Arabidopsis thaliana: one gene and its partner. The protein of the gene in region 2 purifies or fractionates together with the protein of the main gene of each other region. This does not show direct contact. Each region holds a gene or a part of one and is shown on either strand. Other genes may lie near its edges.

The links.
Region 1: the proteins of AT3G57940 (region 2) and RFC2 fractionate together in Arabidopsis thaliana (co-fractionation; one large-scale study listed by BioGRID). This does not show direct contact.

The regions. Positions count from the first base shown.
Region 1 is NC_003070.9:23,421,646-23,425,570, forward strand, and holds RFC2 (replication factor C 2), read right to left. Parts: upstream 2,270-3,925; 5' UTR 2,127-2,269; coding exon 1,965-2,126; intron 1,691-1,964; coding exon 1,584-1,690; intron 1,493-1,583; coding exon 1,391-1,492; intron 1,294-1,390; coding exon 1,098-1,293; intron 1,008-1,097; coding exon 879-1,007; intron 799-878; coding exon 604-798; intron 534-603; coding exon 423-533; 3' UTR 189-422; downstream 1-188. UniProt on the Arabidopsis thaliana protein: May be involved in DNA replication and thus regulate cell proliferation.
Region 2 is NC_003074.8:21,447,291-21,451,215, reverse strand, and holds the start of AT3G57940 (GNAT acetyltransferase (DUF699)), read right to left. Parts: upstream 1,963-3,925; 5' UTR 1,657-1,962; coding exon 1,552-1,656; intron 1,461-1,551; coding exon 1,369-1,460; intron 1,178-1,368; coding exon 1,006-1,177; intron 909-1,005; coding exon 786-908; intron 699-785; coding exon 525-698; intron 442-524; coding exon 331-441; intron 238-330; coding exon 104-237; intron 1-103. Other genes in the region: AT3G57930 (rho GTPase-activating gacO-like protein), read left to right, coding at 3,541-3,925. UniProt on the Arabidopsis thaliana protein: RNA cytidine acetyltransferase with specificity toward both 18S rRNA and tRNAs. Catalyzes the formation of N(4)-acetylcytidine (ac4C) in 18S rRNA. Required for early nucleolar cleavages of precursor rRNA at sites A0, A1 and A2 during 18S rRNA synthesis.

The DNA of each region.
Region 1 (3,925 bases), on a different chromosome or scaffold from region 2:
ATGTAACAGACCAAGAGTTTACACCATTTCACAATGTCATGCCTTACTCATATAGTGTTATCGAATTACACAAATAGGTTCAACATTTTACCTACAAAAATTACGATTCATCTCTCGCACTTGCGTAGACTATATAGAGTGGTTGTAATGTGTAAAATAATCTGTGTATTGTTTTTTTCATTTATGTGATTTAAACAAATAGCATGGTATTATATAAAAAAATGTGTTGGTATACCAAACTGGTTAGGATTAAGCTTAATATTCAGAAACATTCACAAGCAATTCAAATCTAGAAAACAGAGCAATACAGCATGGAAGTTCCAACATCTATCCGAATTCTCAAACAACGAGATTTAACCAACTTGGTTTAAACATAGACCGGCCACCAGTTCATCACTAGAGATGAGTGGAAGTTACCTAACTTAAGGTGCTTTCGCTGTTTCACGAACAATGGATAACTTAGCCAGAAGACCACATAGCTGAAGATAAGATCCAACTCCATCACAGATTCTCATATGCGCAAATCCAGTTTCCTGAAGAAAAGCATTGGTGTTAGACGAAAGTTTGGATGTTTTGAGCTGTCAAGGAGAATCAGATGTATACCTTCATGAACTCAAGTTTCAGATACTCAGCCATATCGTAATTCTTTATTATACGGAAAAGCGTTGTGATAATGTCGGTTGGAGAGTAGCCCAAATCATAGAGCTGCTTTAAGCCGTCACAGGCGATGTCAAACTTACTTTCCAACACATTGCGAACAATGTTCTTGACATGAAGCGGGTGAGGCTGGTCACAGACCTAAGTGAAGAGATCTTTGATTGATGATATGAAACCAATGTGTTTTATAAGCCAAAGTGAATTAAGGTTTTGTTTCAAACCTTGAAGACGTTTTCTTGGTTGACAAACGAAAACCCGCTGAATGTGGCTTGCAAGTTGTTCAGAGCTTGCCTCATGTCACCATCAGCTGTAAAGATTATCGCCTCAAGGCCTTCAGGCACATACGGAACCTTGAGAGATTGAAAACATAAGCAATTAGAAAATTTTCAAAATTGCAGTAAGTAAACATGTCGAATGAAAGAAAAGTGGCAAATCCGTACTTTCTCTGCTGCAACCACCACCAAGAGACGGCCTAGTATCTGCTGATCAGATAATCTAGAGAATCGAACTAAGGCACATCTACTCTGAATGGGCTCAATAATCTTGGCTGATGTATTACAAGCAAGTGCAAACCGCGTAGAGTTCGAATAGATTTCAATCGTTCTCCTCAATGCTTGTTGTGCTCCAGATGTCATACTAGTTTTTTAGAAACCGAAAACAGAAAGTCAGAAAAAAAAACACTTAACTGGAACAATTCAACTTGAGAAGGAATACTCAAGTAAAAGTCACTAACCTGTCAGCTTCATCTAGGATAACAACCTTATGACGCCCTGGAGGAAGTGTTACTTTCTTCTGCGCAAACATCTTAATTTTGTTCCTTACAACATCAATACCCCTACAAACATAACAGAACATTGAAGATGTCTAACCAAACAACGATTGAAGATAGAACAACATCCCATAGGTAAAAGATTGGCATCACATACCTATCATCAGATGCATTCAACTCCAGAACAGCCTCCTTGTAATTCGTGCCAAGGAGCTCATGAGCAAGAGCCAAAATGCTTGTGGTTTTACCTGTTCCAGGAGGACCCTAAGGATATACAACCAAACAACACAAAATCATATATCAAATCTCCACAAGTAATACTAAACACAGAGATTTTCTAAAAATCAAACCTTCATTAACTTTGGCAGACAATAGAAATTGATTAAAAACCCTCAAAATCTAAGCTTTATCATGAAATCTACACAGTAAACAAACCCAAAATGCCCTAATTGATCAAGTTTTCATCAAACCTAAAACTTTTTAGCAAATTCGAGGAGGGTTTAAATCAAAGAGTGTCAACAGAAGAGTAAAATCTTACGGAAAGGATAAGATTAGGCATGTTGCCGTCGCGAGCAATGACTTGAAGTCTGGAGACGGCGTCTTCGTTTCCAACGATATCGACTACTTTGCTCGGCCTGTATTTCTCCACCCATGGTTCATTGTATCCGTCACCGGTAGAGGTTGATGAAGAAGACGCCATTATCAGTCGGAAGAGAAGGAATCTCCGACCGGTGAGATTTGGAGGGTTTTCTGGTTTGGAGGGAAAATTGCTGGAGGATCCGATTAAGGGTTTTACTTTTATACAATCATTTCATTAAAGGGCCTATAAAAAGAAAACATCCGAATTCTGTACCCAAAGTATATTAATTTCACTATATAGCCCCGCCTTTTAAAACTCGTTGTTACATTTATGCCCAGTTCGGTTCGATAAATTTAAAATTGGTCTATTTTATTATAAATAGATGGGAAAAAAAACCAAAACAAACCTCAATTAATTTTTATTTGGACGTTTAATACTCAATTGTTTTTGGTTGGAAAGTAAATACACGAAATAATAAAATCATACAATTTAATACACAAATAATTAATTGTTGTTATTTTCATACTCACGATCTCACAACAAAAATAAAATTCCAATTTTACTCTTACCATCTCAATTAACTATTATTTTTTGATAATATAATATTAATTATATAATTTTAAATAAAAATTAATTTTATTAACATTTTAGTTTATGGTCTCTAAAATTTAAATTTTCATTTTTATTATTATTATATTATTCTAAAATTTAACATAAAAATTATAGAAAATCAAAAATATTTTAAAATAGTCATTATTACAATCTTCTTCTATCGTTGCAATATCAAAGAATCGTTTTCTCTTTAAGGAAATTTAGAATCAAAGATTAATCTAATTCGTTGAGATTTGGGTTGAGGTTAGCTATTTTGCTACTAAAAACAAAATTAGCCATTTTTATGAATTGATAAATCTTGAGAAATACGATGAGATTCGGGTTGAGATTTTGTCGAAAATAGTTTGATTCTTGAAGGATATACAATCGAAAAGAGAGTTTCTCACTACGAAGAATATTTACCGGCCATTTTAAAATATTTTTAATTTTCTATAATTTTTATGTTAAATTTTAGAATAATATAATAATAATAAAAATTAGAGACCATAAACTAAAATGTTAATAAAATTATTTTTTATTCAAAATTATAAAATTTAATATTATATTATAAAAAAATTAATAATTAATTGAGATGGTAAGGGTAAAATTGGAATTTTATTTTTGTTGTGAGATCGTGAGTATGAAAATAACAACAATTACTTGTTTGTGTATTAAATTGCACGGTTTTATTACTTCGTGTATTTACCTTCCAACCAAAAACAATTGGGTATTAAACGTCCAAATAAAAATTAGTTGAGTTTTTTTTTGGGTTTGTTCCCTAAATAGATGTCGTATAAACTATAATTTTTTCGATTAAAAATTTTCAATTTGGATTTGAGTTTAATTTAGATTTATTCCGGTTTTCGATTAAAAATTATGCTTAAAATTTTTCGAATTTTTGTTAATTTTTTACTCAGTTGGACAAAAGAATAAATTTCGGTTTAATATGGTTTGGTTCAGTTTCTTACCCACCCTTAATTTGAATCAAGTTAGTGTAAGTTTACCATATAGCCACTGAAAAAACTGAATATTACATATATGTCCCCTAATTTCTCTGGTTGTCATTTGAGGAGACATTAAATTCATTACAATTTTGATTTTTTATATTCATTTTTCAAACATCACGTTTCCCGATTTGTCCGACTCATCATCTTCTTTCTCTTTCTGTCTCTCTCTCTCTCTGTTCGAATCGAAACCCTAACAAATCCGAAATTGTCTCTGAGATTGAAATTGCCCCAATTTAATGGCGTAAAGCTTCACCAATTTCATCAATTCGATATCAATTTTTGAAATTTCGAAGAAAGGAAGAAACTTTGAAAAGAGAAAGC
Region 2 (3,925 bases):
CTAAGAGCAAGTAAATCACACATCAATAATTCTCACAAACATCCAGAAAAATTAATACTGATGAGTAGAAGAACATATAGTAAAATTAATTCAAGAAATCTACCCAGCAGCAACAGCCCCGGCAACAGCTAAACCAAGTGCAGCAGATTTTCCACGTCCTCGACTTGCAATCAAAGCAACTATGCTGCGGAGAGCCTTATCCAAAATTGCATCGAAAAATGTTACTACAGCTTTACCCTACAAAATGAAAACGCAGAATCTCCTACAATTTAATATCAACCATGCAACAAGAAAGAACATTAGCAAGACATAAAATTGATAGCTTTGAACCTGATCCAATGTACAACATTTCTTGATTAACGGACCAACAGGAAAATCATCACTTAGGTCTTCTTTCAAACTCTTCAGATCCCGCTCTGCCTCAGAGAGCCCCTCGGAATCCTTTAGTAGCACATAACATTGTAAAGTTATCAATTCTACCTGGAACTTTGGATAACATTCTCTCAATTTGCTACAAGAATTACCTTTTCTGTTGGAACTTGAGTAATAGATCTGATATGCGAGGAAAGCGGCAAAATATTCAACTCATCATCCATGACAACACATGCTTTGCAAGATGCAAGTGAAAGCAGAAAACGTTCATTGAAACGGCCGGCAGCCTCAGAATGCGATTCAGTTCGGAATCTGTCATGGACATCCTAATAAAAAAAAGTCATGTCACATTACTTAGATAATGCTTTTCTCCCACTTACTCAAAAAATAAGAAATTAAACTGTGGTTCATACCATAACCATAGTGCATAGACTAGTAAGCGATGTAAGTGATCGCAATATCAATACAACCAAACCACCACCTTCCACAGTCTCTATTGTTCTTGCTAGTAGATTTGGAGTTAAAGCTTCAAAATCCTGAATTTATCAAGAAGAAATAGTAACAATTACTCACAAAACGAAACAGGGACATAAGGCAGTCATCCTAAATGAATATAAATAAGAAGAAAAGTACCTGTAAGATGCACATGCCAAAAGTATTTCCAAGAATTCGTTCAGAATCTTTGTACAAGCAATGAGTGACTCTTCCAACATCAAGCAAACGCGAGAAAGCGTCAAGTTTCTCTGGATCTAACTGTCCTCTCTCCCTCAATCTCTTCAGCTGCTTCGAACGCTTTTGCTTATGACTGCAAACAAACGATACAGACTCTCACCATTACTGAAAAAAGCTATCTTCTTTATTCAAAGGACAATCAGAAATTTCACATTCCATTCTACACTTGTGCCCAGCTAAATTCTCAATATATATATCACAAGCATAAAATGAGCTAAAAGAGAATCATCTAAAGCCTTGAGAATTTGGGATTAAGAACAGAACCTGCTAATGTCAAGTTTATCCTTGTAGCACCACAACACACTCGGATTACATTTAATAACTGCCTTTGACAACATATGATGGAGGTTCACTATCTGTTAGAGAAAAAAAAAAGGTTGAAGATTTAGTATCCAACAAAACATTCTCTCAGGGAGATAAGTGTCCAAGTAGAAAACTTTCGAGAACCTGGTCACGAGACTTGTCACCAATGATTACAAACATGGAACGGTGTCTCAATTTGACACCGTTTTCAATCAGAGTCCTGATACGTTCATCAACCTTCTTCCTCATTCTCGCAAAACTAGCTCTTCTTCTTCCTCCTACTTAATCTTCTTAACACAGACAAAAAAAAACCCAAATTCAATAACAAAATATGGGTTCTGCTTTCGAGTGTTGGTAAAAAACGCAACTGACGAAGAAATCAATTTCCGTTTGGAACTGAATTTTAAGAACAACACCAAAATAAAAAAAAATAACAAGGACCACCGGAACAGAACTTAGGGTTTCTAAATTGTTGAGTAGGGTTTAGGACCGAAGAAATTATGATTTTTCTGCTTTGACCTTTTTGTCCTTCTTACTCAATGAATGAATCATTCATAACCGAGTACTAGACCGAAATGGTTTAATGCCACTATTCATATAAAATCGGGTTCAATAAAGTGAACTCTAATGGGCATAAGCATAAAAGGCCCAGTAAAAGAAGAAGCCCGGGAAGAATCATATGTGTCTCTCTCTTTTAGTTTTTTTTGTAGTTGTTAGTGGTGAGTCTGGTGACAAAATCCTTTGTTGAATGTTTTTGAAAACAATTTTGAAGCGATGTAACTTCAATTTATATAGCTGATGAAGCTGAATTACAAAATGTGATGATTTTGACATATAGAATATTATTAGTATATAGATAGAGAGAATAGAGAGATAACAAATAAAGTGAACTCTAATGGGCCAAAGCCCAAACGTTAAAGGAAAAGAAGAAGCCCGTGGAAAGTGTTTTGAAATGTTTGGATGAAACGCGGCTATTAGCTGTCGTCTCTTATCCAACCGAACCCAACGAGTTCGAAAACGAGTAGAATGTGAAAGCACGCGCCAAAAAGGGGGCGCGTGGGTGAAATCCGTATCCATCTTCAACGGGCTTAAGATCCATTTTAGTCAGTCTCAGTGATGGTAGTGAGAAGAAAAAGCGTCATTCTTACGTTTTTCTTTTAAGTTTCACTCAGAGACAGAAGCTAGAACAAAGAAAAGAGAAGCCTTTTGAAAGCAATCAACTTTAATCTTTTTCAACCAACACTAGTACTCTAGCTGTTGCTCTTTCTCTTCGTTTTCTTCCTTCCTTCTTCTCTTAGATCTCTTTCTTTTAACTTGAGTCTTATCCTTTGGATTTTTATTCGATTTGATTCCTCCGTTTGGTTTGGTCAGTTTTCTTTAGACTCTTAGTCTTTCCTCTGATCTGGGTTTTAGCTGTAGAAACTCGTGAGTTAGATCGATTGAGAACCCAACTATAAATTAGTAAAAAGAGAAACCCTTTATAGGTTTTTTGGGGTTTTTGTCTCAGTCTGACCAATGGGTTCACAGGTGAGTCTCTGTCTCTCTGTTTTGAAGAGATTGTAAGGAAACTAGGGCTTGTTTTCTTGTTTAGACTGTTCATGCAATTAGTTTTCGTGGAAGATAATTGATTGAACTTGCTTGTAGCTTAGTTCTTGGTTTCTATTGAGCTCTAAAGGATAGGTTTTTAAGAGATGAAATTGTTTAATGTCTCGTGACTCAAGTGTTGCTTATATATGTTTCCTTTGTTCAGATCTTTTTGGAAAGAATTTGTATTTGGATGTTGTTAAATAACTTGTTCAATGCACTGCTTCTAATGCATGAAAAAAATGGAATCTTGCTTTCGTGTTTATGATTGCGCTTGTGTTGATTCTTCAATGAATAGTTCCTCCTCTATGGAGTGTCTGCCAGTTTGAATGATCCTCTACTTTTGTGCATATCGAAAAAAATGACATTGCTTTTCACACTTTTTAGTCTGCATTCTTCAACAAATTTCTATAGTGTTTGAGTTTAGTTCGCCTTCATTGTGTTGTTGTGAGGTATGAGTTACTACTGGTAATTAAAAAGCAACCTTTTCAACTTGCAGGTTTCTTGTCTAGTTGCTTGAGGTTTTTGGTTTTTGGTTTGAATAGAGTTATGAGAAGAGGTAGAGGAAAAGGCAAGAGGCAGAATGCTACTGCTAGAGAAGATCGAGGGAGCGGCGAGGAAGAAAAGATTCCAGCTTTTAGGAAAAGAGGGAGGCCACAGAAGCCGGTGAAAGATGAAGAAGAAGAAGAAGAAGAGCTAGTGAAGAAGACAGATGAGGAAGAAGACAAGGATGATGATACAAATGGTTCAGTAACAAGTAAAGAAAATGTGACAGAGAATGGGAGGAAGAGGAAGAAACCAGTGGAGTCTAAAGAGAGCAACATAACTGAAGAAGAGAATGGGGTAGGGTCAAAATCAAGCACAGAAGATTCTATGAAATCATCGTCGTCTATTGGGTTTAGGCAGAATGGGAGCAGAAGGAAGAACAAACCAA